4 linked regions of the Rhinolophus ferrumequinum genome follow. The protein of the gene in region 4 interacts with the protein of the main gene of each other region in a pairwise test. Links are inferred from orthologs where the notes say so. Each region holds a gene or a part of one and is shown on either strand. Other genes may lie near its edges.

The links.
Region 1: the proteins of CBY2 (region 4) and CEP44 interact in binary tests that used the Homo sapiens proteins (3 or more experiments, as listed by UniProt). The two-hybrid records come from large-scale screens. The link is inferred for Rhinolophus ferrumequinum from reciprocal best matches to the Homo sapiens genes CBY2 and CEP44.
Region 2: the proteins of CBY2 (region 4) and MMAB interact in binary tests that used the Homo sapiens proteins (3 or more experiments, as listed by UniProt). The two-hybrid records come from large-scale screens. The link is inferred for Rhinolophus ferrumequinum from reciprocal best matches to the Homo sapiens genes CBY2 and MMAB.
Region 3: the proteins of CBY2 (region 4) and SYCE1 interact in binary tests that used the Homo sapiens proteins (3 or more experiments, as listed by UniProt). The two-hybrid records come from large-scale screens. The link is inferred for Rhinolophus ferrumequinum from reciprocal best matches to the Homo sapiens genes CBY2 and SYCE1.

Annotation. Positions count from the first base shown.
Region 1 is NC_046301.1:32,522,418-32,530,528, reverse strand, and holds the start of CEP44 (centrosomal protein of 44 kDa), read left to right. Parts: upstream 1-4,876; 5' UTR 4,877-4,997; exon of another isoform or gene 4,998-5,098; intron 5,099-8,111. UniProt on the Homo sapiens protein: Centriole-enriched microtubule-binding protein involved in centriole biogenesis. In collaboration with CEP295 and POC1B, is required for the centriole-to-centrosome conversion by ensuring the formation of bona fide centriole wall.
Region 2 is NC_046308.1:14,030,043-14,037,756, forward strand, and holds the start of MMAB (corrinoid adenosyltransferase MMAB), read left to right. Parts: upstream 1-4,555; 5' UTR 4,556-4,578; coding exon of another isoform or gene 4,579-4,694; intron 4,695-5,611; 5' UTR 5,612-5,641; coding exon 5,642-5,760; intron 5,761-5,875; coding exon 5,876-5,937; intron 5,938-7,714. Other genes in the region: MVK (mevalonate kinase), read right to left, coding at 556-700, 2,191-2,338, 3,187-3,264. UniProt on the Homo sapiens protein: Converts cob(I)alamin to adenosylcobalamin (adenosylcob(III)alamin), a coenzyme for methylmalonyl-CoA mutase, therefore participates in the final step of the vitamin B12 conversion.
Region 3 is NC_046299.1:32,222-39,977, reverse strand, and holds the start of SYCE1 (synaptonemal complex central element protein 1), read right to left. Parts: upstream 3,259-7,756; 5' UTR 3,240-3,258; coding exon 3,170-3,239; intron 1-3,169. UniProt on the Homo sapiens protein: Major component of the transverse central element of synaptonemal complexes (SCS), formed between homologous chromosomes during meiotic prophase. Requires SYCP1 in order to be incorporated into the central element.
Region 4 is NC_046287.1:5,395,105-5,402,854, reverse strand, and holds the start of CBY2 (protein chibby homolog 2), read left to right. Parts: upstream 1-4,569; coding exon 4,570-4,644; intron 4,645-4,949; coding exon 4,950-5,030; intron 5,031-7,750.

The sequences.
Region 1 (8,111 bases), on a different chromosome or scaffold from region 4:
AACCAATCACACCTCTAAAATTGAAAGGCAACAATTGTAGAGAAATGAAGGAAGGGTAAATCCACAAGGAGGTCTTTCTAAGGAGAAAAGGGAAATAGCTAAGTACAAAGAGGTCACAGGGTACATTAAACACATAAAAAAAAAAAAACCCACTCATTAAATTTAAAGATCTGGTCCTGCAAGAGCAGTTTTTGTTACTAAAAGGCATACCATTTGTACTTTTTTTTTAATTCACAAAGATTTACAATATTACTTTGTTTTCTGGAAGTTTTTTCCTATTCTTTAATTTAAACAAATGTAAAAATTAAGATGTGTCATTTAAATGTGACCAAAATGTTCAGAATTCTGGGCCTATTTAATTTAATTTATTTAATTTCTTCAGTTTCTTTTGCAAGAAATGTTCCAGTCTGTTTTAACTCTTCAATAAAAAATTTATCATACTTCTCACCAGCATTATTTTTAACTACACTGGTTCTTACTTAACTGCACTATTTATTCAGCCTAATTATAATCAGCAGCTGCCACGGCAGCATATCCCAACTCACCTCCTTGGGACACACTATACTCCATGCACACTAACCACAATGGCCATTAAATGAGAGTTGCGGAATTCAAAAACAAAACAAAACAAAAACTGTAATTCTCACTGAATTGCTTTTATACACATAAAACAAGATATTAAAATATAATAAATATCAAGGGCAGGGCAGCTCAAAATAGGAGGAAAAGCATAAATGAGATAAGAAAACATACAATAATGAAAAGAGACCTACACAAAATATGGATTTGATTCAGGCTCCTACTTTAACTAGTTGTGAGTATTGGTCAAACCACTTAAATTTTGAAGTCTCGGTTTCCTCACCTGTAACATAAGGGTTTTGAAGTTGATCTCTAAGGTCTCCTTTAAAATTCTATGAAAATAAAACGAGAAACAATTTTTAAAATGAAAGTAAAATGAAGAGGTGCTAGAGATCGATGGATGTAGGGGGGATGTGTGTGTGTGTATTTAACACGTGTCCTTTCCTTCTCTCTTTTTCCCCATGTTCGTTACTTCTATAAATCACTACTCAGTATGAGCAGATAGCGGCTCTCCAAGCAAGGCTCACTTGCCAAAATCTTGTTTCTTCTTTCAAATAGCTTATGAAATCCTATGCAATCTATTCTTGAAGAACACAAACTGCTGATCACAGAGCTAAACTCCCTAAACCTGCTGTCTAAACTTCAAACCACAAATATCTTTTCTTGTTTCTACACCACAAAAGTACTTGCCCCGAATATAAACTTATTCAAGGCAGGACAGTTTAGTTTTATTGTAGAATCTATGTCATAAATTTGTCAGAGTAACAAAGCGATGAGAAAAAAATAAAGATATAGGGAACATAAATTTCTAGAAGTAAATGTATTTCATTAAAATTGTTTTAAAATATTTAGCAAAATAATTCCATGAAAAACATCATGAGTTAAGATATATATTTCATAGACTTTCAGTATTAATGACTTTGATGCATTGTCACAGGCCAGCTAAGGAATTAGCCTTAGTTTCTAAATTTGAATCAAGATGGAGGAAAAAAATAGATAGTTGCACATAGCAGTTGGTTAAGCAATGAACTATAAAATCATAAATTTGAATGACTAATTTCAATGTATTGTGATCAAAGAAAAGATCATCTCTTGGCAATTCAATGTTTTAATCAACACAAAAACACAATAAACATAAAGCATTCCTTATTAAACTGATCGTATATAATAAATTACAATGCATGTTTTAGCTTATCTAGAAGTTATTATCCAAAGATATTTTGTGGATGGAAGTATTTCAACTGTGTTGTTTTCGTAAGCATCTGTTTAAAATTTTGCAGATATCTAAGGGCCCAAAACAACTATAAATGAAGTATGTTAAGCTAATATGGAACCACAATTTAAAAGCCAAATTTACATTCTGAGAATTGACACAATCAGGCTGGTATTAAGCCTCTGATGTGTAAAAAACAAACTTGAATATTTTGCTAACAGATAAGGATTTACAACATCTTTCAAACCTGGAAACAGGCAATTTTACAGTGGGTCACAGCCAAATAGCGTCACTCACACACACACATACACACATACACACACACACACACACACACACACACACCCTCCCCCCAAAGTCTATACCTTTAATTTCTGATAAACTTACATGGTTCACTGACAAAAGCTGTGCTGGTAATGTGTATCCAGGTAATGCTGAAAAAGGTGGTACCTGCCACCTAGTAATGTTCAAAAACAGACATCCAAGACACATTTCTATTCTAAGATACACCTCACCCATCCCTATTTGATCTCATATCAACATACAGACTGCCACTGACCTGCATTCTTTCTATACTAGAAGGCTTTCCTCTACTCTTTCCTAACTTCTTTCCTCCTTAAGAGCTATCTTTGCATGTTTGTTTTGATACAATTTCAACCATATAAAATGACAATGGGTAAGGAATACACAATCTCCAGCTGTGATACGAGTATGTTCTGCTCACATAGACCCTAAAACACAAACATTCCTCTCACACACATCATTCCCTCAGGCAAAGTTTCTCAAGCAAAATAATAAGCCTTTCTTCAGATAATTAGATGGAAAAAAAAAACCTTTCCCGGGAGAGAGAGAGGCTTGAACAAGTTTGTTTATTTCTTTACAGTTTAGCATTTCTCTTTGTCTGGCTGCATTTGTCTTGACTGCTTTTTTGCTCAGTTTTCCTACCTATTAACTCCTAAAAGTTATCAGCCAGGGTATCTTTGTTAGCCTCTAAGATGGCTCCCAAAGATCCTTGCATATGGGATTTATGCCCTTGTGTTATCCTCTCTATGATTTTGGGTTGGACTTACCAACTCACTTCTAACAAATACAATATGGCAGTAGTGATGGAATACCACTTCTCAGATTGAGTTACAAAAGACCATACAGGGTTTTGGGTGCTCTCTTTTGGATTGCTCACCCCAAGGGAAGGCAGCTGCTATATTGTGAGGCAGCCCTATGGGGAAATCCATGAAGTGGAGAAGCTACGCCTGCCAACACCAGGTGAATGCATTTGAAATTGGATCCTTCTACCTCTCAGTGGAGTCTTCAGGTGAGATGTGAAGAGCCCCCAACCTGCAGCTTGACCATCAGTCAGAGGCACTCTGCTAAGTTGTGCCCGAATTTCTGACCCACAGAAATGTTGAGATAATATTTATTATTTTAAGATGCTAAACTTTGGGACAATTTGTTACTCAGCAATAGATAACTAATACAATATCTCATCAGACAAATTGTCAAGTTAACTGGATAAAAATGGGAAGCTTTCTACGCAACCTGGAAAATAGAATAAAATTTCTTCTTCGTTCTGTTCAATTTCGTAAACCATTTTCTTGGAGTGTGGGGAACCCTTCTACCTCAGAAATATGGTTAACAAACTCCAAACATTAAATGAAGAAAAGCTGAAATGGAAAACATAAATTAGCTTCAACTTGCAGTAATAAAGTTGAAGATATGATATATTGATTTGGAATGAAACACGTAGGATCCTTGAAAATAAAAATTCCATTTGTTAAAACAAGTAGACTCAATTATTAAATTACTAAATATATAAAGAACCTAAAAATAAAATAACAACAAAAAACTTAAATGACTGAGGATTAGGATTCATTTACGTAATTTCATACAATTAGTAATATTTAATTCCGTATCCACCATGTAAAAATACTAGAGCCCAGTCACAGAGAAACAAAGACAGAACAAATTACGAATTTGCCAAATTTATAACCAAAGTTTGACGACTGAAGCAACTGGCAATCCATCATGACCTTAACTGTATGTAAAGAACTGAAATCCATCGTGATCATAACTGAATGTAATGAACAACAACAAAAAAAACCCTCTACTTGAAAAGCAACACTTAGGCTAGAAGTAAGTCATCATTGCCGATTCTCGGCTTTATTTCAGAATGAAGCCGGGTCACTGCTTTTTGGGACGTGGGGTCCCAAACTGACCTGTACCCCAATGGCCTAGAAACACAAGGAACACACCTACTCCCGCCTCCTGACACCGATTCCTCATTCTAATAAGCCATCACCGCTGTCACTCAGGATGCTTTGCACTGTCATTGGCCCTAAAGTCTTGCTGGTGGGCAAGTTTCTGCCAACTGGCAAGCACCGGTTGTCTATTTCCAAGGAGAAAAGTAGGAGTGTACAGGGAAAAGAGGGAAGAGTTCTGAAATATTTCGCCGGACGCTCTTACCTGAACGACCTGCGATCCCCACCGCCGCCGCGACGAATCGGCCTCCGGGCGGGGGCTTTTAGCCAAAAAGAAAATGGCTCAGCCGGGAACTGGTGCCCAGGCCATGGATAAGTCGGTTTCAAACTTCACTTGTTCACGCCGGTGGAGCTGACAGCGGCGAGAATCCCTGAAGCAGCACTGGCGCCCTCCGAAGTCAGGGTACCTCAAAGGTGCAGCAGCCAGAGCTGCCGACTGTCGGAGTTTTGACGTTTCCTATTGTTGCCGGAAGTGACGTTCGGTATCTGAGCCTTAAAGAAAGAGCATTTTTATCCCTGTTGTTTACGATTCGCTATAGATTCCCAGTTTCTCACTTGGCAGCCCTAGCCACTCTGAGCATCAAAATTAGGCAAACTTCTAATCTGCAGCTTGACATCGAACTTGCCATCGAGAAGGGTCTTAGCCGAGTCAGTGTCCTCAGGAGTCTGGACGAATGCGGTGTGGAATCCGCAGCGAGGAATCGTGAAGCTCTGGGGAGCCGGCAGCTTTGACGAGCTTGCCGCGGTGCGTGGCGGGCTTCCACCCGCTGCTCCAAATACAAACCGTCGGCGCGAGAATCGCGCGGGGGCGCAGGCGTCGGGCCGCAGGAACTAGTTGCTGGAGGCTGGGCTCCTGTGGCCTCCTCTGGTTGCATATGCTACCTCCCCATCTCCCAGTTGTGTGGGGCCAGAGGCGTTCGGAGCCTGCTTCTGTGCTCGCCGGCTGCTGGGTGAGCCCGGGAGAGCTGCATCTTAGACTGGGCTGGGGTCTCCGTACCGAGACCCCGGGCGGGAGCTAAGGACCAGGTCTGCCTTTTCATCCTTTTAAATCAAGTGGAGGGAGGGGTGCCCTAGATATGGCTTGCCTATATACCCAACTGGTACATCCTTTTGTAACAACGAAGTAGGAAGAATTGTGGCAGCTCATCCTCCTTGATTAGGTTGTGATTTATGGTTGGGAAATTATAGACTGATTCCTCCTATGGGATCCTCTGAGCTGAGGAGAGATTCAGTTTCTCGGAAATATTGACTAGAAGGGAGAGATGAAAGTAGTGGATGTTTTCGTTTCTTGCATTTCCCTGGCGTTTCAGTATTTCTCCACTTTCCTAAAACTATTGATTTTTCCCTCATTATGAAAAAAAAATCAATCTTGACATTTTAATTCTGCAGTTATAGCTACACAAGACTTTTTCTAAAATTATCCACAAACCTTTTGACAGTTTTATGTGAACACAGTCCTACTGAACTCTGTACTTGTCCCTTATTCCCTTTGTTTTCTCCCCTAATTTTCTCAATGTTTTTCCTTTCCTAGACCTTTCTCCCTATCTCTTATAGCAGTATTTCCCAAATATCTTTTGCTGAAATTTTCATAAACGTAACTTTTCCTGATTTCTACTCCTCTCTTTATTTTCCATATAGTTTTAGATAATATCAAGAGTTATGAGCTTTGTCACAGACTCTTAGTCATCAACCACAGTAATGGTTACAGTCAGTGTAGTGGCTGGCTTCATTTTGAACAAAAATCACTTTTGAGTTCAATGGCATTTCTTTGGGAGGCATCATTTAATGACCTCTAACAGCGATGAAATTGAGCTAGATTAAAAATCTTAAACTGCGATTGTATACCATTTTCACAACATGATGGGTAATGAATTAAGGTGGGCACAGCTGACGTGTAGGGAGCGCTCTCTGGAGGAAGCAATATTGAGATCCTAATGATTAAATCCGTGCGACAAGCTGAGTAATATCTCCTTTCTTTTAATTTCCTTTGATAAGAGTTATAAAGTGAAAATTTTAATTGTTTAAGGTAACAAGTTACTTTTCATCTCTGAAACTGTTAACATGTGCATAAGCCATAGATTGTCTTCTTTTAATATCTTAATTTTAGTGTTTTTCATTTTTATAATAGACTTAGTTGTTAAAGCCTTTCATGAAAAATGTAGAACAGTAGGTGTAATTTTTTTCTATGATACTCACTTTTTTTATCCTTTATTTGTTCTGTCTTGGTTTATCACTTATCTCCTTCACCTACAGATCCAAGCTGTACTTGTGTATTACTCTTCTTCAAAATATTTATTCTACTCATACTGAAGAGTATGTGTCCCAGGGACATACTTTGTTGTCAGAAATTCCATTACCAGAGGCAGAAATAATATGAGATGTTGATATATGTTCTAGGACTTCAGAGAAAGGAAAGATGAAAAGATACATAAAGTATTAAAATTACATGTAGGGGAAAGATGGAATATACGACTGGAATGATTAAAGGAAATCTGTAGGAAGAGATACAATCTATATTAAAGTTATAGAATGTCTCAGTGGGAAAAGTACCCTAGAAAAATTGTATTAAGTTAGGTGGGTCTGGAACTTAAAACAAGCTTAGACCTGCTATACTAGCCAATGACAATACCTAAGAATATATATATTATATTTTGCGGTTACAGCCACATAAGTTCTCACTTCATCTTTCCCAGGAAAGGAAAGGCTGATATGGGAAGTCATCTCTTACTGCTTCCATATGTCCATCTATTCCCCAGTCATCCTAAACGATGTTAAATAAAGTTTACCTTTTTGGACAGTATTTTGTATAATGTGATTTTAGGATTACTTCCTTTTTTTCCTAGTTATCTCCCATTTGACAGTACCTGAAATTCCCTGTGCCTAAAAATGTAAACATGTAGTTGAAGTAATTGAAAGGCTGAAAAATACTGACTAAACCCATGCATGAGTGTGTATAAGCGTATATTCAATAACCTGCTCTTTACCATGTTGATAAAGGAGAGGACACTTGGAACAGGAAGATACTGTGTTCCCAAAGATGGGGAAAGGGTACAGAATTGGATGGCTAGGGACTTATCTAGAAAACTTACTAAATATAGGATTTTTTAAATTGCTAGCCTTATTACCTCTAGTTATGTACAGATAACAGAGGTGTGTAAGGAGATGATTTGTATCCTGGGCAACTGCTGGAAAGTTCAGGAGAGGGAAAAGATCATACTAATTCTACTTCACCTGATTTATGAATTGTTTTGTTTTTAATGTCAGTTACTTAATTTTAAAGGAGCCTCATTCCCAGAGGTTTCATTACTCAAAGTATATTATTTTCCTTTTATAAAGTGTCTATGAACAGTTACAAATAGATATTTTAAAGTGTGTTATTGATCTTTGCCTTACTGGTTGACTAGAAGTCTTTCATCTCTTAATTCTTAAGTATTTGTTTATGTATTTATTTATTGTATTAACCTCCTTAGGGAATAACCTTTTTTGAGAATTTAACAAAAGCACTATCCCGTGCAATAAAAAGTCATTTAAAAATATAATTCCATGGTATTACTTTCTTTGGGATTTAAAACAATGAACCATTTTATTTAAAATCTCAAATATTTTTTGTGTCTGTTGGTGCACACACATACACATTCTGTTATGTGTATTCTTTGGAGTTGTGTTTCTATCTCATAGACCCTATGTATGTCAGCTTTAGTAGATATCACCAGTAAATTTTCCAAAGTAATTGTACTAATTTACCCTTTCACAGCATTGTGTGTGTCGGATCTTCTACAGCCTCACATTTTCTATCTACTTTGTCATTTGCTAATAATTAATGAGATTGAGTATCTTTGCACATGTTTTCTTCTCTGTAAAATTCCTATTCAAGCCTTTCTCATTTTTCTGTTGAGTTGTCTTTCATTTTCTTATTGCTTTGTAGGAATTTCTTTACATACTCTAGCTATGAATCTTTTTGTTGGTTATATATATTGACAGCATCATCTTCCACTCAATGGCTTATCTTTCCACTCTTTTAAAGGTGTCTTTTGATGAATAGAAATTACTGATTTTAATGTGTT
Region 2 (7,714 bases), on a different chromosome or scaffold from region 4:
TCTACATCTGGGCTCAGGTGCTTTCCACCACACGCTGGGTACTAGCACCCAAAAGAGGTAAGGTGGGGGTGAGGGAGGATTGGAAAACTCCTGGAGGATTAGAAATATTATACAGTTGACTTCTTGAGCAACTTGGGTACGGACATGGCATGGGAGAAGCCACACGGTGGATCCAATCCAAGGATGGAATCTGGCTTGGGTTCTACTGAACTGAAGAGGGCAGAGGAGGCAATGTGGGGTTACGAATGCCAGCGTGCGGGTGAAAGTGGACTGAGCTGACCCCCGGCTCCACCACTTCCTAACTAGCTGCATGGCCTTCAGTGACTCTCTGAGTCTCAGTTTCTCCCTACAAAAAATGCGGACAGTGCCTCTCTCATCGGGCTGTTGTGAATATTATAAGCAGACCATATGTAACGTATCTGTCACGGTGCCTGGCACATGGTGGGACAGCCAATGGCTGTTGTCCCACCTTGTGAAACCTGGAAGGGAGCACGTGCGTTCTCCTGGAGCCAAAACTAGAGAAACCAGGACTCCTTCCCCAGACCGCACACACACCTCTGCTTCCGGCAGATGGACAGGTACAGGTAAAGGAAGGCCAGCACGGCCAGGTGTGTGTGGTCGGCACAGTCTTCACGGACGCCCGCCACCTCCTTCAGCTTCTCCATTTGCTCTGGGGTGATCACTGTGACGTCCCCTTGCTCTGTCACACAAGCACACACAGATGGTTGAGGACCTCTCAGGTGTTTTATAGACAACAGAATGCAAAGAACGGAGCAGCCATGGGAATCTGGATGGGCAAGGATTTGTGGTCCGAGCACCACAACCTGTCAGTGCACTTAAGGTTTTGGAGGCAGGTAGACGGGTTTGGGTCCTAACTGTGTCCCCGCCTGGCTTTGTGGCCTTGAGCATGTGACTTAACCGCTCTAAACCTCAGTTTCTCTCCTTGATAAATAGGGACAAGACTGTCATGAAGATAAAGTAAAATAAATCCTTAACACATCTCTGGGAACGCAGTAAGTGCTTAATTAATACTAGTTTAAAAACACACATATACACAAATGAATGCTACCGTAGCTCAATCAAAAGCCTGGCTTTGACTTGCATCATACATACTCCATCTCCCTACAGTATTTGGGAGTGGCTGGTTGTGGACTGATTTCTTATGGGGGACAGGGAACAGTTAGGGATAAACCCCTGGAAGAGTCCCACTTGCCCCATGCTGACTGAGAAACACCATTCCAAACAAGGAGGCATTGGTCCGGAGAGGAAACAGCAAATGAGAACAGAACACACGCTCCAGTTCTAATGCAGGTGGGGACTCCGCTGATTAAAAAACCTTGCCTGCGTAGGAGTGGACACGACATTCCCAAAGCTATCAAAAATGAGCACGGAGGTCTTTATGTATGAAAGGCACTTTCAATATACTGGAGAAGAAAAAGAGACCCACCCATGTCTGACGAGGTTACATGGCCCGTTCCAATTTTAGTCAAAAAACAAGATCTCTCCCTATCTCAATCTATCTACAGATAATAATCCGGCAGGATTAACACCAAAATGCTTAAGAGCTGTCAAGCGGGTGGGGACTGGCAGGTGGTAATAAGAAGTGCTTTGGTTTTTTTTTTTTTTTACTTGCAATGTTCCAGTATTGACTGTATTTTCCAACAACAAGCATAAATTACTTTTATTTTAAATGATTTTTAATTGCACAAAAACTCAATACATTCCCCTTGTGAAAATAACACCACAGAAGGAAGGCTCCCTTTGTCCACTCCTGACCCCTGGGAGACCCCCAGAGGTAACTCACCACTCAACAGTGTCAGCTGGACGTGTACCTTTCCAGCCATCTTCTATGCATTGACATACATACTGACACTTAATCTGTGCCATTCCTCCTCATAGCATTCCTGCTGTTGTGCATCTCGTGTTCTTTCACTCAACAGTAAGCCTCAATAATCTGTTTACAACAGCCCACAAAGACCTAGTGCATCATTTTACTCTTTGAAATTAAAAAATACGTAAATAAATAAATCAGTGAAGCTACTTGTACACGGTCCGGAGAGAAAACACCCCCAGAGTGGCTGGCCTCTTGCACCCTCAGGACAGCTTGGAATACCTAGCCAGCCATTATCTTTCCCCCTCCGTTCAGGGCCCACGCTCTTCCCATACCTGGTTCCTCCTCCCTGCACTTACCCAGAAAGCTCGTGTCCAGTCGCTGAAGGCTGGCCACATCCCATGTTTGCTTGATGCCAATGTTTGGTAAGTTGAGGCCCACTTTCCCACCGTTGTGGGGTTGAAGCCGGAGGAATGTTCTCAAGTTCAAGGCCACAGCCAGTGCTACCTACAGAACATAGGGCAAAAGCAATAAGCCTGAGGGTGAGTGGCAACAAGTACGACTCCTGTCTTAGGGAAAAGGGGCCAAGGTCACTGTGCTAGCACAAAGGCCACTTGGACCCATGCCTTTGGCAGACCAACCTTGGCATACTTTCCCACTAAGCCTCCGCACTACCACTACCAATCAAGAGTTAGTATCTACTTACATTTACTTTTCCTACGCAAAACTTCAGAGGTTCCCAATACCAAGGACTAGCTTCCCCATAATCACCATGTTTTCAAAGATATATATAAGTTAAGAACATAAAGAATGACAGAGATGAGGAATGGGAAAAGCACGAGCTTTGGGTTCAGACAGACTTAGGTTTACTACTAGCTCTAGCAAGGTGTAAGGGACCTTGGTCAGGTCAGCAATCCTCTTCTAAGGCTCAACCACCACATCGGTAAATCAGCATTAAAAGTTGAACCCCAGAGGGTAGTTGTACGAGTGAAATGAGATGATGCACGTTTCAGACTCCTTTGCTGAATCCTACTCATCTTCCCAATTTCTAAATGCTGAAAGACGCCGAATTCAGTCCTCAAACCTCTTTTCTTCTCCACCGAAGCTCACTTACCAGGTGATCTCATTCCACTCGTGGGGCCTAACCTATCACCCTTTTTGCCCTCTTATTGAGTGGGCGAGAGAAGCCTTTCAGTGGGCATAACTCCTGTCTTTCCGATGCCTGGCTGGGGAGAAACTGACCTCCCCTCTGATCTATTCCCAGGCTATGCCTCAAGGCTTTCTTTTGTCTTCTTTTAAGATTAGGAACAGGGAGGAGTGGTGTCCAATCCTTGAAGGCTCTGGGGGCCTTTTACCTTGCCGTGGACCACAGCATGCTCTCCATGAAGGATGACTTTCCCTGGAGCGGACACCATCAGGGCTTCTGACAACATGGCTCCTGGGACTCCTGAAAGCGAAAGTCAGAGGGAGGATGGAGGGTCCCCAGATCTTAAAGATCTTAGAAAGTACTTAGTCCAAGCTCATCGTTAGAACAAAAAAGGCAGCTACCTCTTAGCACTTGCTACATGCTCAAAAGGCAGCGCAGTGCAGTAGTTATTACAGTTAACTAGACACATCAGAATGATCTGGGTTCAAACCCCAGCTCTTCTACTCCCCGGTGATGTCCTCTTAACTAATTCACTGAAATGGCTATGAACCTGTTTTCTCACATGTTATACGGGGACAATAACTGTACTTGCCTCAATAGGTTTAGGTAAGTTAAGTTAAATAATGCAAGGGAAACACTTAGTGTCTAGCACATCATAATCACTCGATTACTGATAGCTGCTTATTACTGGCTCTGTTCTTGGTTCCAGCTTTCATTACTACGACTATGAAAGGGAGAGATTTAAGTGAAATAGTGGACCAAAAAAGAACTTTCTCCTGGACATTGAGGCTATTTCCAATGTGTCACAATTATAAACAGGTTGCAGAAAACAGCTATTACACCTCTTTCTGCACATGTAAAGGAGGATCTCTACAACAGAGTCCTAGAAAGTCACTTGCTGGGACCACGGGTGTGCGCGTTTTAGATTTTTATAAATAATGCAAAATTACCCTCCATTTAAGGCTTTATGTGCATTAATTACCTGAGTATAACAAGAACTGAACTTCACTATGAGTTAAGTACTATCGTGATCCCCGTTTCTCAGCAGGGAAACCTATTGCTTGCCGGAAGCTCAAAATCAAGTCAGATTCGAAGTCACCGATCCCTCACCTCAGAATGGATTCTCAGAGTTGGGGAAACTAAGCCAGAGAAGCCAGTCGCCCATCCTAGGGTCGTCCTGAGTCTTAGCTAGGACCTCGCGCCACCCGACCCCGCGACCACGGCCTCTCACCTGCCGCCACCGCAGACCCTAAGCACCGGAGACCGAGCGGCTCCAGGACTCCATCTCTGAGCGCCCCGGGGTGGGGAGGAAACCTTTCCTTTCTCCCAGCCAATCAGAGCGCGCGATCCGGAAGTCCCTTTACCAATTGGCTTGAACATTGGCCAATAGGTGTAGCTAACCAAGTCGTCACGGGTTTCCCCGCCCAGCTCCTTCCGTGAACCAATAGGAAATAAGTTCCTGGGAGTGTCCCGCCCTGGGCCGAGAGCCACAGACCAATGGAAAATGGTGGCTGACGAGTGGTGCGGCTGGTGGTAGGTGGAGTCACCCCGCGACCTGTACTGGAGCCCGGTGGGGTCAACGCCGACAACCGCCTGGCTCATGGCTGTGTGGGGCCTGGGAGGCCGCCTTGGCCTTCGCGGTTGCCTCGGCTCCCGCAGGCTACCTTGTCCCCGTTTCCAGAGCCGCGGGGCCCCGGGCGTGGAAGACGGGGACGGGTGAGTGCCCGGCTGGGAAGGTAACTCGGACACCTGCCATGAATTGTGGTGTTGTCGCCATAGTTACGTCACACTGCTGTGAGGTTACCACGGCACCGCCAGGTGACAGCCTCTCTTAGTCCTGACGTCACTATGGCAGTGTGGGCACCGTGGGAGCCAGAGACCAAGATTTCATTGCACATGTCGGATCGAAGCTCAGCTGTCATCCACAGGGCGGGGAATGAACCATGTGGGCCAAAAGGGCAGCTTGCCTGGCCTCACAGTGGTGGTGGTAGGGGCAATTCCGATTTTGACCTATCCCCAAAGCAGTTTATACTTTCAGACACAGAGATACACCACATAATCTAAAGATGGTTGTCATCGTAGACCTTGAAACTTGCACCCCATTCCCAGACCTCAGAACCTGTAAAGTACCATGAATTCATAATGGCGTCATATATTTCATAGATCCAGTAATTTAACATTTGAATAACTTCGTAATGTCACATTTTCATGTTGAAGCCTGTATTAAAGGTGTTATGTTGCTATTTGAAAATGCCAATTCTCGAACCTTGTTTTGGCAATTCTTTATTACTGAGTATACTTGAAGTTTCATAGAATGGAAGTAGCCCAGTTTTCTTTTCCTGACTTGGTGGGGTAGAAGATAAGCGTTTGGGTAAGGCAGAAGCAACAGTTTGGGGTCTGGAGTAAGATGGTCTTGGGCAGGAATCCCAGCCCTCCCTCTTCCTCCCTGGGTGACCTAGGAAGGAGAGTCCCATCCTGTGAACTACAGCCTCCTCACCAGTAAGATGAAGGTCATAGATAGTGTGTGTCCTTGGGGCTGTGAGAAGATTCCAGGGGTAATTTCAGGACATAATGCCGGTAATCCACTTAGCACAGTGCAGGGACTACGGAAAGTGATCAGTAAATTCTTTCAGCGAATATTTATTGAGCTTCTGCGTTGAGTGATGGACTACATCAGCGACTCCGCAGACATGGATGTGGGAAGGACACAGAGCTTGCCCACAAAGGGCTTAAAGTTAAGAGAGATGGAGGGGAAAGATGGCAACAAGAGATGGAAGCTGAGGTGGGTAGGTGCTGCGTCTGAAGCTATGAGCAGCAAGCTGGGACCCATGGGAGGAGGTGCCCCACTGTGTACGCCATCCCCGTTCACCACCTCTTCCTGTCTGTTTTCTCATTAGGCCACAGCCTTCCTTGAAGACACCCAAGATCCCCAAGATTTACACCAAAACAGGAGACAAAGGTAGGGTGGGGACCAGTGAAAAATGCAAAGAGAGATGTGGCAGACTTCATTTTAAAGTTCTTCCCAATTCTTTGCAGCCATTAAAAAGTATATGGCCGATCTCAGTATACATGACCAAACTGTGTGATAGGAAAGATGCCCAAAATGTAGTAAGTAATCAAAGCAAGTTGCAGAGCAATCCAAATACCCAAATCATTTGGATAAAAGTGTGTGTGTGTGTGTGTGTGTGTGTGTGTGTGTGTGTGTGTGTGTATTCAGGTATGCATCGAACAGCCTAAAAGGTTACACCTTGGTCTGTTACCTGGGAGAGAGATTGAGTTGTGGGGGAGAGGAATGGACAGAAGTGCTTTCTTTGTTTACTGTAAATACTTCTATTATTTTTTTTTTGACTGAGCATTGCTTTGAGAATATAAAAAAAATACCAGAGCATAATATGGTCCAGAAAAATGTAAGATGCAAAATATCAGTTTGATACCATTTTCTCAAGTTTAAAATGTGCTGATCACTGGGATACTCATATATTGATTTTTGGATATACGAGTACAGCAGGTCCTCAAAGAACGTTGTTTTCTTCAACATCATTTCATTATAATGTTGATGAGATGCAGCAGGAACTTAAGTCTTGTTTAAATCAATTAGCCTGTGGTAAAATTGGTTTTGTTCATTTTGCTCAAAGTTGCAGTTTCCAAGAACCTTTCAATGATGTTAAATGAAGACTTACTGTATACTTATATAGCAGAAGTATAAAAACATGCATAGGATGTACTCAATGCCATTTAACTATGCACTTAAAATGGTTGAACGTGGTAAATTTGATGTTATGTATTATATACCACGTTTTCTCGAAAATAAGACCTAGCCAGACCATCAGCTCTAATGTATCTTTCAAAGCAAAAATTAATACAAGAACCAGTATTATATGATGTTATATTATAAGACCCGGTCTTATATTAAAATAAGAACCGGTATTATATTATATTATATTATATTATATTATATTATATTATATTATATGACCCGGTCTTATGTTAAAATAAGACTGGGTCTTATATTAATTTTTGCTCCAAAAGATGCATTGGAGCTGATGGTCCAGCTAGGTCTTATTTTCGGGGAAACATGGTATATTACCGCAATAAAACGAAAAAGTATGCATAGGTATGACAAACAGAAGGTGGTGTTCATGCCCTCCAGCCAAAGAACTCCAGGGTCAATCTAGTCAAAGTCGGATCAGTTAGCTCATTACACCTAGGGAGATGGCATGCCATGGGAGCTATGGGGCAGCTCAATAAGAGGAAGCTAGAAAGGCCTGGGCTTGTTGTAGGTGATTTGAAGAGAGTCCAAGGAAGTGGGGCTCTCTCTGGATTAGGTGATGTCAGAAGCAGGGATAATTCTGTAATTGGGTATCTTAATTATTTTATTTAGAAGGGGAGAAGGACAGATGGGCCCTAAAGGTATACAGTGCATCAGGTGTAATTGACAAAGAAACAGCAGTCACTCACATTAGCCAAGAAAGGGGGACATTGGTCATTTTATAATGTTCTGTGCTCAGACGTGTTTAGGAGCGTTTCCATTTTGATCTTGATCTGTCACAATCATAGAGTGGTCCATCTGGTGGTGTTCTGTGAAATCGTTTGCGTTCAACAGGAGAGCACCCCACCTGTGAGTGCCAGGCCAGCACCTGGCAGCACCAAAGCCTGTCTGATAGCACCAGGCCAGCCTGACTGTCCAGAAGGTTTTCTCTTTCTCAGTGGTTGGGGGACAAAGATGGGAAATGTGA
Region 3 (7,756 bases), on a different chromosome or scaffold from region 4:
AAATCAAAACCACAATGAGATACCACCTCACACCTGTTAGAATGGCTATTATCAACAAGACAATAACAAATGTTGGAGAGGTTGTGGAGAAAAAGGAATCCTCGTATACTGTTGGTGGCATTGCAAATTGTGGCAGCCAGTAAGGAAAACAATATGGAGGTTCCTCAAAAAATTGAGAATAGAATTACCATACAACCCAGCAATCCCTCTTCTGGGTATCTGCCCAAAAAATCTGAAAACATTTATTTGTAAAGATATGTGTACCTCTATACCCCTTGATCACTGCAACATTATTCATGGTGGCCAAGACATGGAAACAACCAAAGTATCCTTTGATGGATGATTGGATAAATAAGATGTGGTACACAATGGAATACGATTCAGCCATAAGAAGAAATGAAATATTGCCATTTGCGATAATATGGATGGATCTTGAGTATCAGGCAAAGCAAAATAAGTCATACAGAAAAGTTGAAAACCGTATGATTTCACCTATATGTGCGATATTAAACAGAAAGCAACAAACAAAATAACAAAATAAACAAACTCATAGACAACAATATGGTGGTGACTGGAGGGGGAGGGGGTGGGAAGAAGATAAAGAGGGTAAAGGGGGTCAAATATATGGTGAAGGAAGGAAGACTAGACTTTGGGTGGTGAGCACAGAATGCAATATACAAATAATGTACTGTAGAATTGTATATTTGAAAGTTATGTTATTAACCAATGTCACCGTCATTTTTGTAAAAGCGTGAAACAATCTGAATGCTCAAACAACCTCAATGCCCATCAGTAGAGAACTTATGATTCATCCCTGTAACAGAATACTATGTAGCCAGTGAAAAGGGGGTCAATACACATGTACTAACCTGGAAAAAGATCCTAGATAGCTTAAAAGGAAAGAAAGTGTAAACTGGTGTAGTACAGAATCCGACATGGCTACAAAAAGAGATGAAAGATATACCTGTCAGTCTACAAATATATGCATATCATGTCTAGATTATTTCCTGCCAGAATCACAAAAAATTTTCAACAGTAGTTACCTCTGGAGACTGGGGTTGGAAAGACAGGAGAGGTTTACTTTTCACCATGTACATTTCTGCATAAGGTTGCATCCTTTAAAAGTTAATAGATTTCCCTGGGTGAGTCAAAAATGACTTTTACAGTTTGTTGGGGTAACCACTTTTCCCCCCAGTATTATTAACAGACCAGTGACCTGTACCTCTGTTTTGATTCCCTATTGCATATCTAGTGCTTGTCATAAGGTAAGGCATACAGCGGGACAGTAGTAAATATCTGTAAAATGAGCCAACTTGTATCTCATTAACAAGAAAGCTAGGGCACAAAACAGCCTGTATAGTGTAAGCCCCCCTACTTTTGACTTTTTGAAATAATTTCAAATTTACTTAACAGTTGCAAAAACAGGACATACAGCTCCTATATATCCTTCACCCAGATTCCCCATTTGCTAATATTCCTAACCCTTGAGAATGAGTTGCAGACACAATGCTTCATTACCCTATAATACCCCAGGTGAACTTCTGAGGTACAAGGATACTCTCCTATGTAGTAACTGCAGTACAACAATTAAAACTCAGAACATTACAATAGATATTAACCTCTGATTCTCTAATGACAGTTAACAAATGTGCCCTCCTTTTAAATTTTAAAGTTCCACAAATAGTAACTATAGTCCTATTAGAAAAATCCAACAATAAGATTAAAAATGTTCCTTCACTTATGCCTTCCCCTCAAAAAATCCAAATCCCTTCTTCAATCATCAGTTAGTAAAGTAGCCTTCAGAGAACTTTCTCTGCAACCTATACAGTGCTCTAGATATAATTTTTCCATCTTGCTTCTTTCATAAAAATATCCTTTTTGCATACCATGCTGTTATCAGTATAGAGAGCTGATAATTTAAAAATTGATTTGCCTGAATTTTAATTATTTTCCTTCCTGTTATAAATCCACTGTACGTGTGTTTCCCTGTGTGAATGGGTGTATGCGGATCTGGCCATTCCCTCCCCGTGTTTTCCCACCACCATCCTGGCTCCAGTGAGTACTCTGTCCATGCATCGCTGTGTTTTCCGTGATCCCCCAGGAAGGTGACTGAAAAAGGAAAAAGCAATTTAAATGCTAAACAATTCTGCAAGACGGGCTACTGCAAAGCCTTTACCTATTAATCTTCCTATCAATTCACTCTGGGAAAGTCCTTGTCTCCATGGTGTCACTTGGTTGCTACAGAGTGAATCCTTTCAGCCCCCCATTCACATGTTGAAATCCTCACCCCTGTGACGGGATTAGGAGGTGGGGGGCCGAGGCCGAGGGTGGAGCCTGACGAATGGGCTCAGTGCCCGCATCAAAGAGGCTGCACTGAGCTCCCTCACCCTTTCCCCACGTGAGGGCAGCGAGGAGAGCGAGGGCGGCAGACGAAGCCCGGAACTGTGAGAACTACCGAGGCTCCGCTGATTGCAGCACTTTATCAAGACGGACAGATGGACCAAAAACAAGCGCGGGGACAGGTACACAGGAGTTCCTCGTACAATTCTCTCCACTTGCCTGCGTTAGAAAACCCCCCTGAAACATCCACGAGCAAATCCTTACAGGGGTGGGTATGGCTAGGACAGAATTTTTTTCCTCTTTGGGCTGTAATTGGGAACTTTTAAACAATTAAAATAAACTGCACGTCCCCCCCTTGCTTGGGGAGGTGGGAGCCATCCCTCAACAGGTCGGTGTGAGGAGTCGGTCTGGTTTTGGGGGGAAACAATCCACTGGTCAGAACAGGGAAGTTCAGAGGTGTGAGATGAGGACAATGGGGACTTATTCGTTCCCTCAGGTGTGGCAGACCCAGGAAAACGTGCCTTTCGTGTTTCAGAGACGCTTGAGGAGATTCAGGTCGAAAGGATGTTCTGTGACAATTTTAAGCTGTCTGAGCAGAAAGCAGGGGAAGCAAACATGGCAAATACGGCGTGAGTTACACGTCGGAGGCGGATGTGGGTAAGGACCCCACTCGAGGGAACAGTCGACTTTCCCTCAGAAGGCGACGGTCCTTTTTCCTCACTACCGTTCTGACGGAGACAGAGGCCGCCCGCGCACTCCCTGCCCCGCCCCGGCCTGACACCAGCCCGGTTCCGGTTCCGAAGCAGGCCCTCGCCGGGCCCCAGATTACCTCCAGCCTTTTCTCCCCGGTCCGTGGTTCCCGAGGGCTCCGAGCTCGAAGGCCCCGGCCTCGCCGCCATTTCCTCTCAACCGGCTGACGCACTGGCGTTGGGCTCCTCCGCTGGGATTGGACTAAACCCGTGCCGGGGGCGGGGCGTCCTCCCGCACGCCTGCGCAGTGCAGTGCTCTGTGCGCCGCATTCCTCCGGAGCAGGCGCGGAGGTAACGGTTGGACAAGCGCCAGTGCGCATGCTTAAAGCTGCCGTAACCCAAAGTCAGGGCACAGGAAGCGAGGGCCGCGTGCCTACTTCCGGGCTTGCGTCGGCCTGTTGAACAGTCTGATCTGCACAGTATACAGGCTTCTGGAAGGGCCACCCTGACTCGACGTCTCTGGCATTGCAAAAAGTGCAACTTTGAGGTGCGTTTGAGAGCCGAGTTCGATTCCCATCTCTGCCTCTATTACTCACTGCACACATCAGTTATTTCCCGTGCCAGCGACGACTCCGGGCTGGCATTCTGGAGCAAGACCAAGTGTGTTGTCAGCCCACCTGACTAATCTTGGTGGATCTTCTTGGTTGGATGCAGAGGAGAGTGCAAGAGTAGACGGGGACCCTCGTCCCTCCGAGCTTGATCCCGAGTCTGGCCCTGTCTCCCCGTGGACACGTCCCCACTGGAGGCGTGGCCTGAGGGGGGGGTTCTGCAGGGAGGGCAGGGGGTGCAGGCATGCCCCGCTGGTAGTGGATGAAGGATCCTTCCCCGCCCATGCAGCACGGTGGTCACCCGGGGCTGTGCAGGTGGAGCCCCGAGGTGGACGCGAGGCTCAAATGGGCTTCTGCTCACCTACCCCGTCGCCGGGCTCACTGCCTCCAGGAATCCCGGTTTCTGAGGAGACAGTGCCCGGGGCAGCCCCAGGCGGGTGGATCTGGGTGCAGGTGGTGCAGATGAAGTGTCCAGCCCGTTCACTGCACACAAAGCCAGTTCTGAGACATTCCAACCACAAGGAGCAGTTTTGAGCACTGCGTGTGCAGAGCCCTGCTCTACGAGCCAAGTCTTCAGTTTTCTGTTGCTGGACACTGGCAGTACTTATAATAAACAAGAATGAACATGTATTTAATGGGTGCTTCCTGTGCGACAGTTCGTATTCTGGTCATGGTGGAAGATTATTTCATTTGATCCTCTTTCCAGCCCGACAATGGCCAACCTGCCTGGGCTTCCCCTCACTCACTCTGCTCTAGCCAGCAGCCTTCCTCAAAACAAACAGGCTTAAACTCACCGCAAGCCTTTACAAACGTCACCTCTACCAAGACTCCCTTGCAAATAGTCAAAGCTTGAATTGTCACCTCAAGGCTAATATGCCTTCTACAAATCAATGCCTCCCATGATATAGATAATGTTATGAAAAAAGTCAGTGTTAGGATTAAGGGTCAAAGTAAGGGTCTGAGTTGGGGCCAGGGGAAGGGTCAGTGCGAAGTGGTGTCAGAGGCCAGATTCAGAGTCTCCTTTCATCGTTAGGATTCGGAGACAGGATTAGTGGCTGAAACATCCTTGGCTTGCTTTCACCATCCTGATGTCACAGCCACTCACATAAGACCTAGCAGTCCAAGCCAGGCTTACTGACCAAACCACAGCAGAGTAGACCATCTCTTGCCGACTATGGTGGCTCTTCTGGAAATGAACTGACCTAAGCAGGAAATAAGCACACCGAAGTTTCAAAGACCCTCAAATCCAGAACCAGTCCTGTGATACAGACTGCAGTAAGGGATAGTGGTAGAGTTAGGGTTAGTGTGCTAGGGATATCGTGAAAGTGAGGGTGAAGAATCAGTGTCAATGCTAGGGCCACAGTCAGGGTCAGGGTTTAGAGTTTAAGGGTCAGTATCAAGCATCTAGGGCCCAGAGTTAGGGTTGTTTGGATTTAGGGGTAGAGGTTTAAAGTTATGGGGCCGGGGTTAGGGTTTGGTTTAAGCCTCACCGGCCCACTTCCCCCTCCACATTTCATCTCTCTGAGGTTTCCAGGAAGGGCAGGACGTACCCAATGTCACACATGAGTCTAGTTGAATGGACCATTAGTTGTCTGCTCCCCGGTCCTGGGTTCTGCTAATAGAAGAATGAAATGTGACTCTGGTCACTGTTTCAAATCCAACTCAACCTCAGTCTAGCAGGTTCCCCACCCTCCTTCCCACTGCAGAAGGGTTGGTGGGGTCTCCACTATGTCCGGGCAGCCCCAGATTCTAGCTCAGTGATGACACACGAGGGCACTCAGTAGACACGTGTGGATTTACACAGGACTGGGTACAGCGACCTGCCAGCCTCCAGGTGCAGCCTTTCTAAGGGCTGGTGGGGCCCTCCTAGGACTGGCTGGATCCTTCGTCCCATCCGAATGGGCAGCAGGAGATAGTCAGGTCTCAGGACAGCCCTAGGCCTCTCCTCTGACCTGCCAGGGAGGCATCTGTGGTCCTTAGCAGTCTCCACTGGGTGTCTTCCCGCCTTGTGCTAAGGAGTTTATGCCTAGGTTCTCCTCCTAAACCAGGTCTCCATCTGAATCTCTTAGGCAGGAAAGGCGGAGGGTCAAAGGTTCTTTATTAGTCTTGTTTCTTAACAATCAGCTTAAAGTCAATGTGTCCAAAGGCAAAACTTTTGGTCCTCTTCTTCCCGCCTTTGAAACTGTAATAAAAGTTTCACATCCAGAAGTTAAATTGGTAGATTGTCCCATATTTCATTGATCTAATCACTCAGTCCTGAGAATAAGGTAATTTAAATTGTTGAATCTTATTGCATGATGCAGTGATGTAGATATACTCCCAAATTTCACCTTTTATTAGATATCTGATTACTTGTTTAGGTGGGGGAGGAAGAGACTTTCCTCTACCCTCAAGCTTCTTCTGGCTGATCTGATAATCAAATAGACATGAGACAGATTAGCAAGAGAATATAAGCAGATTTAATACATACACACGGGAACCCTGCACACAGGAGAGTCCGAGACCCCACATGCAGGAGAGGTAGGAAGATAGGAAACATGGGTAGCTAAGGCTTCCTGAGCTAGGGATGAGGTAAGGTCCGTTGGGGGCTTGTAAGAGTCACTGTAGGGTAGTGACAAGAGCAGATGTTTCATGAATATCTTGAATCAAATCAGACAAAGACGGATGTTGACAGAGATTGAAGGAGAAGGTCAGAGACAGAAATAGATGGATAATGTAAGGTGTGGGGTGCTGAGCTGCTGCCAGCCCACAGTTGATGACTGTGTGTATGGCCTATGGATTTGGGATCTCTTGGGGTGTCCTTGGCTGACTCTGCACTGTTTTCCCAGACTCCATTCTGAGCAGCCAGGAATCTCTTGTCAGATGTGACCTCAGAGGAAGGGAATATGGGGGAGAAGCAGAGCTGTGCCGTGGGCTGAGGAGGAAGAGATTTTAAAAGGCCCGAGCACAGTCATCGCTCAGCTTTGGGGGAGTCGTTGTCACAGGGATCTGGTGCTGCTTGTCCTCCCCTGAAAGGCCAGGCCACCACCTCCCTCCCCACCTGTCCCCATCCCCAGCTGCCTGCCCTGGTCCCACTCCAAAACCAGCCTAGGTGAGTGCATGGCAAGCGGGACCATGAGGTTATCTGCTTTTCTTCAAATACAATGACCGAGATTCCACCCAACACTGCAAGGACTATTTGGATCACTCTGTCCAGAACCCCATGTGTGCAAGCTGGCCCATGTGGGCCCATGTCAGCCTCGGTTCTGGACTCTGAACTGTGTGTGTTAGAATCAGTCTTCATTTTAACTATCTGTGAAATGGAGATAGTAATCGTCTCTGCTGCATCTGGAAAATGGGAGCAGTGGGTGAGATGAGGCCTGTGAAGGGCCTGGAACTGGATTTATTTCTTAGTGAGCTCAGTCCCAGGGGCCTGGATTTGCATAATGAGCAAGCAAACGCTCTTCTCTGCTGCCATCTTGTGTGAGGTTTAAGAATGACACCTGTTTGTCACCTGGAAAAGGTATTCTTTGCTGTCATCTTGTGTGCATCTAGGGAATAACACCTGAGTAAAGGTCATGAAAGGCTCTTCATTCGAAAGTCTTCTTCTGAGCCAAGGTGTCAGACCCAGGGCTATGCCCCAGGTACAGTCATCTGTGCCCTGGAGGCTGCCTGCTGGAATGTAGAGTCCTGGAGGTGAAACCTGGCACTGGGCTTGGCACACCTGAATTAACTGCCTTCTAGCTTGGCTCTTACTTATGCTGCCTTATGTCACCCTCCCTGCCAGGCTCCCGACCTTCCCCAGGGCCATTTTTGAACTCCCAGTGTGCTTAGAGAGCCTCTGTAAGTCACCACATCTGGGAGAGTGCGGTTCAAACCAAAGATTTATTTTGCATGTAAGAGAGGCAGCCCAGGAGGACCAGACCAAAAGGAACCCAGGTCTGAGAGCTGAAAGCCTGGGTATGGAAAGACCACAGGGAGGCCTGCATGGGGCATACTGCAGCCCCCAGGGAGAGCTGGGGAGGCAGGCTGTGGTGGGATCCCAGTCTCTAGCCTGGGCACTGAGGTTGAAGGGGCCTTGGGGACTCCACTCCAGGTGCAGCATTTGCCGGGGGAGCTGAACACCAGACTCCTGGGGCA
Region 4 (7,750 bases):
CCTTGCCTTTTGCCTGTTGGTTGAGAATGTTGGAGTGGGAGTGGTGTCACTCAGCGACCCCACTCCCACTCCTGCCTGCCTGCGACAACGGGCCAGTATGGTCTCAGAGTGGGGCCAGAGAACACGCAGTCGCCTCTTTTGATTTTTTTCCAAAATAAAAGAGAATTTCTTAGAGACTGAAAGTCTTTTCTGTTGTATGTCTTTTAAAATAAAACTTGAGAGAGGCAGCACTGGTTAATGACATCATGTAAATTTCACATGCATAACGTTATAATTCGATATCTGTGTACTCTATTGTGTGCTCATCACCTGAAGTCTAGTTTTTATCTGTCTCCAAATATTTGATCCCCTTGACCCAATTCACCCTCCCCCATCCCCCTTAGCCTCTGGTAACCACCATTCTGTTGTCTGTATCTACTTGTTTGTTTTCATTTGGTTTGTTACTTTTGTGTTTTTATATTCCACACATCAGTGAAATCATAGTCTTTATAGAGCCTTACTCTTGGATCGAGTAAACAAATGAACTGATTTTAGGAAAATGTCAGAACTATGGTGGTGGGATTTCTAGTGGCTCCTGATTGAGGAGGGAAATTTGTAAGGATGTTTCTAGAGGCCCCCAAGTTTCGATGTTGCTTTTGGGGACCTATCTTGCACCTGGTCTCCTTTCTGACTTCACCAAGAAGCGTTTACCACCCTGGTTATCTCAGGAATCTGAAAGTGCCAACTGCCCTACTTTCTGCACCATCCCCCTCTGTTGGTTCCTTCAACATCCCCACAAATATGGGTGATTCTTCTAGCGTAACAACCATTCACTTCAACAGTGCCCCTGGTAGCTGCTCTTCTATTTACTTTCTTCCTGCTCAGACTTTTCCAGCAGTTGATCTTATTTTTTGCTGGATGGACTCAGCGGCAGCCTCTCTTGCTCTTTCTGGCTGCTGCCTTATGCTTCCTCAGGAGGTGACCCCTGGCCTGTCCCGAAGGCAGCTTGGCTCACAGCCTGGCTGTCCTTGGGTTGGTACTCTGGTTCCAGCATAAAGCTACCCTCTGCCCTAAGCAGCAAAAATAACAAATGTTCCCAAACACATCATATAATTTGCAGATGACAAACATTGTGATAATTTACTACATCCACACAACTTCCCATCCTTTCACCAGTGAGAAGGAGAGAAAGGTCAGAACATACCCCACCATGCCCACGTCTGACTCCTGGACCAAGAGCTGCAGTTCCTGTGACTCCCTGGGGCAGGGCAGGAGGCCCCGTGCTCTCTGATGGGCCCTCCCGCTTGTTGAATGTTTCCCTGTGATTCATCACCAGACAGTTGCAGGTGAGGAAAGCCTGGGGAGTCTGAGATGCATGCTTGCCCTTTCCTTCATCTCTGCTCTACCTGTCTGTTTAGATGAGAAACCCACCAGGCGTGTCCACCTCCGAGCTCTGTGTAGTGCCCTCCAATTGTGGATGCTCACGAAACATGGATGATTGATGATGGCGTTACTCTGAATAATAGCAGACATTTGGGGTGCACTCTCAAGGAAGCTTTTCAGTACCGAGTAATGGATGCGTGTATCCTGTAGAGGAGGAAGGGACCCAGCTAGTGGGAAGATGCCAGTTCCAGGATGGCCCAGCTCAAAGCGCTCCTCCCTTAAAAACAAAAAGCGGATGAATCACACAGCAGGCACACAGACGAGCCCTCCCACCAGCTGTGACATCAAGCCTTTTTAATAGGGCACCAGTGTGTGTGAGTCCGCTGCTTGAGACTGCAAGGCAAAGGGAGCAAGGCAATTTTGTACGAGGGCGCCAACGCAATGATTATTTACTGAGAGCTTGCTAAGTCGTCTCGAATTAGATTTAATTTCTTCATTTTGGAGACGAGGAAACAGCTTCTGAGAGGTGGGGTGACTTGCCCAAGTCACATCGCGTTAAGGACTGAATGCATATGTTGGAGCCCTCGTCCCCAATGTGATGGCATTTGGAGGTTTGGCCTTTGGGAGACAATCATGTTTAGATGAAGGCTTCTGGATGGGATTAGTGTCCTTAGAAAAGACGAACAGAGACCCGAACTCACACTCTCTCTCCACCATGTGAGGACACAGTGAGAAGGTGGCCATCTGCAAGCCAGGAAGTGGGTCTCATCAGGAAACAAGTCTTCTGGCCCTTTGACCTTGGATGTCCAGCCTCCAGAATGGTAAGAAATAAATGTCTTGTGGAAGCCCTCCAGTCTCTGGTAGTTTGTCATAGCATTCGTTTTGTGGTCCTTTGTTTGGGCAGCTCTAGTTCAGCTACCTCCTTCGCGGTTGAGTCTTCCTAGCTCAGCCTCACAGGTGGATGTGCAGGTGTTTCCATGAGATCTGTGTATAAGGGAAAATTGAATTGTGTTTTCAGACAGTACGAGAGTTAACCGCTTAAAGAAACCCGTGGAGAAACAGGAAATGCCAAGTGTTGACAGGATGAGGAAAACTTGGAACCCTTGTGTGTTGCTGGTGGGAACGTTAAACGATGGTGCACTGGCTGTGGAAAACGGTATGGAGGTCCTCAAAAAGTTAAAAATAAAACTACATATGATCCAGCAATCCCTCTTCTGGGTATTTATCCCAAAGAATTCAAAGCAGGTTCTCGAAGAGATATTTACATACCCGTGTTCATGGCAGGATCATTCACAGTAGCCAACAGGTGGAAACACCCCCAAATGTTCATTAGTGGATGAACGGATAAATAAAACGTGGTATATAAATACAAGGGAATACTGTACAGCTTTAAAAAAGGATGCTGTGTCACATGCTCCAATATGGAGTATCTTGTGGCTATGATGCGAAGCCATTAAGCCCGTCACAAAAGGACAAATACTGTATGATTCTACTCAGGAGTCTCTAAAGTAGTCAGAATCATAGAAATCGGAAATAGAAAGGTGGTTGCCAAGGGCTGGGGGAGGTGGGGAGGGGACTTAAGTGTTTAATGGACATAGAAGTTCGGTTTTGCCGGATGAAAAGGTTCTGGAAACCTGTTGCACAGCTTTGTGAAAGTCCTTAAAACTACTGAACTGTATACTTAAAAATGATTAAGATGGTCATTTTTCATGTTATGTGTTTCAACCACAATTAAAAAATAAAATTAAAAAAGGAAACCCTTGGAGAAGTTCCCATTTACAATGAAGAATTCTTTGATAATGTGATTGATCACTTTCTTGGTCTTTTCCACATGTATAGCTTTGAATTACTGTGTATTGGATTTTCTTAAAGCGACACTCGCTTGTATGTGGGCTGTGGGAGAGCCGTTGGGCGCTTAGGTGTCCCTGGGTCTCAGACGCTGGCCTACCACCCTCCCCGGTGTGTGGCATAATAACGTGGCACGGGAGCTCTCTGTCTAAAGAGGCTGAAGACACATGAGAGGGCTCCCACTAACAGCCTCTAGAGGCAAGTGACTGGACAGAATTGAGGCAGGGGGCTGCGCTGCCCCCTTCGCAAAGCCCGGATGTTAGCACTGTGGTCTTGATGCAGTTTCTACATGAGGTAAAATAAGAATATATATTTGGCCTTTGTTTGTAGTTCCTGACACGGAGCTCCTAAAACCTTTACCACTTCCTGAGTGATAGATGTATCTTTTATTATTCACACGGAGCCCCTCTGGAGCACACCTGAGTTTATGCCAACGAGGTGATTCTTGGTGGGGCCCCCTTGGCAGCTTTAGGATGTGGGCTGGTTGCCAGAGGAATCAACTACGTGCTTAGAGGGTTGGAACTTTCAGTCTGCACCCCTGCACGTCTGCGCTGGAAATGTTCAATCACCAAAGACCACTGATTTAATCAAGCACAACCATGTAATGAAAACTACATTAAAAAGCCCTGAACAATGGTTTGGAGAGCTTCTGGGTTGGTGGGAGGATGGCGTGCCAAGAAGATATGGAAGCTCTGTGTTCTCCCACCCCATCCAATATCTTGCCCTAAGCATCTCTTCCACTTGGCTGTTCCTTTATAATAAAACTGCAGGTGTAAGTAAAGTGTTTTTTGAGTTCTGTGAGCTATTCTATCAAGTTATCAAACCCGAGGAGGGCGTTATGAGAACCCCTGATACAGCCAGGTAGAAGTACCAGTGGCCCAGGACTTGTGACAGGCATCTGAAGCGGGGCCGGTCTTGTGGGACTGAGCCGTTCACATATGGGACCCAACACCAACTCCAGGGCGATTGTGTTAAGGTTGAGCTGAATTGCAAGATGTCCAACTGGTGTCAAAGAATTGGAGAATTGGTTGTGTCAAAAAACGTCTCACACTGAATTTCTTCTCTTGGTCTGGAGTGAGTTCAGTTTGCATTTTTTCCTTCTTAAGTGATCCAACTCCAAGGAGAAGATGCCATCTCTGGAGAGAAGATAGGGATCTCAGCCCAGCCTGGCAGAGGAGATGTGAATAGCAGTCAAGATGACCAAACAGGAAGCTAGTGTTAGGGCTACTGTGTGTCACACTGACCTGGACCAGCCATGTCACACCAAGGTAAGCTCTTCCTGACCATCAGAGGCCTCATTCCCGCCTGAGATGCTCAGAGAGAGACCATGAGCCCTGAACACTGCCATATTGTTTTGTGATGTCACCTCTGGAATGTTCTGAGTGTTTTGGTGACCAACTTCTGCACAGGACCTATACCTGGCACCTAACGTTGGTATGACTTTTTGCTTGAGACAGAAATAAGAATCTTAGAAAAGGTAATAATAGGTGTAAGTATGTCTGCTCCAAAGGCTTTCGGAAGGCTCTGAAACCGGTTATAATACCTGTCTTAACTTATGTTCAGACATCGCTACAGCCTCTTGTCAGACACGATCTTCCCGTTCTTTGAGACTCCGATTTTCATGATGTACATAATTGACGAGGGGATAAGTGAGTCGGAAGTCCTCTGTTTTTCAGATGAGCAGTTGTGGCCCGGAGGAAGGGCTGGGGAGCAGATGTCTTATTTTCTTTTTTCCACAGCTCTCAAGGCCACATTGTAGAAGAAAAAGAGATACCAGATCTGAAAGCCTAGAAATTCCAATCAATGTGGTTCTACCTCAGGTAGGGATAATCACAGAAGAATGTAATCTACTCGTTTTAGCCACAATAACCCTCTTCTTTCAAAACTCGAGCAAAAGATGTTGTTGAACGAGCAGAGTCCTCAGGACCTCAATTCTAGTTGTGGGGCAGCTGCCAACCAGCTCTGTGCCTGGCAGAGGACACTTAGCCACTCTGGGCCTTGGGTCCCTCATCCCTCGAATGAGGAGAGTGAGTTAGGTGGTCTGGTAAGACCATCCAGCCCTAACACATGAAGTTTCTATGACACTCTGAAATACGCCAATCATCTCGAAATTAGATCTTCTGGTAGTTGTGCAATCACGCTGGATTTCTAGAGGAGAATTACAACTGGCCTTGGAATCAAATGCATATGACTGAATCCATGAGGAGAAAACCTAATACAGACCAAGGAGTACAGACAGGGCCATTTGGAGGTGTCAGAGAATTAAGGCCAGCTGTATACCAAATATACAGAGCGTAAGGGGGTGGGCACGAGGGATTCAGAACGGAGGCCAATGAATGGATGCAGTGTTGACAGGTGGAGATTCTCAGGTCTCCCCCACTGAGCCCTGGTGGGGTTCTCCTGATTGCATTGTTTCTACCGCTGCTATGTCACAAAGGGGGCAGCCTTGCTTCTCCAGAGTCACCTAAGGCCCAGTTGGAAGACCATGGCACTGCAACCAAAAAGGGTGAAATGTAGAGTGGAGGAGTCCAGTGCAGAGGTAACTATGTGAAAGCTCTGTCCGGGGACGTGTAGGGACAGGATTGATCACCTAAAGCTCTCTCTTTCTTAAGGATTTTCAGAAGGACACGATTAGAAAGAAAACCTCCAGCATTCTTTCTATAGGTGGAGGTAATTGTAACAATCTAGGCAACTGTGTTCAGCAGGAGGAAAAAATATAGGACACAGAGCATTCTGGCTATTTGTTTTCGCATATCCTTATGACGCTGTAATGAACAGACACTTCTCTGTTTCAGCTCCTAAAGCTTAGAACATACGCTCACTTTCTCCTGACCATCAGGATGGCTTGCCCGCAGGGTTTCTGCCGCTGTAGGAGCCCTGGCTGAGGTCCGATTCTTTCCACATAAAACACGTCTGTAATTCCATTGTCCACTACTCTCCCTATGGTTGGGTCGTTCTCAGCCCAGAGAAGTCAATCTTTGCTTTGCTAAGGGACTGGGAGAGGGTGTCAACCCGAGGATGGGTTGGGGTGGGGATGGGAAGAGGGTATGAAGCAATGGTCACGTGATGGAGGGATCTGGAAGTCTTCCATCTACACCTAGTGCAGCTCCCTGCCTCCTCCCAGAAACAGCCCCTGCAGGAGAGCAAGGAGCAGAACTGGGGAGTGGTTTAAGGAGCTTCGAGCGTGTTCTGGGGCCTGTACTGCAGGTCCTGGTGCAGCTGCTGGGGTCTAGGAGGGCACGGGATGAGAGGATACCTGCTGCCTAGGCACGTGTGCCCCACGTGGGCAGATGTGGCCTCACGGGTGCATCTGCCACCGGGACACAAGTCATGCAGCAGGTTTCAGACACCAGCCAGGATGCTTTGGGCAGGGGCGCTGGGGGAGTGGTGTGGGTGTCTATAAGTTTAGATTATGAGAACAGCGTCACGACCAGGGCTTGGGGGAAAGGACTGATGTGGTTGATGAGGGAAGCAGGACTATTGGTTGAACACTGCTTTCATCATGTGTCGGGCCATGCAAGTGCGAGGTGGACACTGTAAGTACGGGAACTGGGAACCCGGGAACCCCACTGGTAATGGCAGAGCTGGAGTTGGGGGCTTGAACCCAGGCCAACACCCACTCTCTCTGTTATATCGGAAGATGGGCATATGCCACGTGGCCGGGCCAGGTCAGGTCTTAGTCCTCTGCTTCTCTTGCTTTTAGGAGATAGCCCTTCCTCTCCCTGCATCTTAACTGCGTGCCCGGAGCTCCCTGCATGTGTCTGCCACATACTGCTTTACTCTGGGACGAGTCCCTCTGTTTCAGAAGGGAATTGCCTCAGCAGCTCTGTGACTTCAGAAAGTGCCGCTGGCCTCCTAGCTCCCAATCCGGCCAGGCATTGGGGCTTCTCAATTACATTGCGAATGCCTGTGACTCACTGTTCCTTATCTCCCTTAGGTCTTTCCAGGTCTTATTGATTTCCAGTTTTTCTTCCTCACATTAAATATTTGTGTTTTCTGATCTATTTCCCTCCAGCGCATTCACTTGCAAGCCATCGATGTTATTTCCTGTCCCAGCTAGCTGCCCTCTTGGTTCCTTTTGTACACAATGATTGAGTTCTCACAGGCATTTGCATTTCCCTCCCTGGTGAGCACTGTGTGTGCATTGCAGGTGTTGTTTAAGGCTAGATCACTAATGAAGGGTCACACCAGATCAGAATGAGCTCTGGAGGCCCCCTCCAGGCTCCCTCATGCCCCCAGTTGCCTTTCCTCAATCCCCTTTGTTTGGGCTTGTTCTTCAGAAGCTATGGAACCGGCTGACAACACCCATATCTCTGCAAATTTGAATGACCTGTTAGGAGGAAGATTTCATGAAATTCTGTGTTAAACAATTAGCTGAAACTACCACACATGATGGCATCTTTATAATTCTATTAAAATCAGCCACGTTGACTTGTGAATTATTTATGAAAACCAGCATTGACTTTATCATGGTACCAAGGAGCCGAGTTGATTTGAAACTATGAGAATGAGCCTCAGCCTTGTCACGCTGTCTGGATAT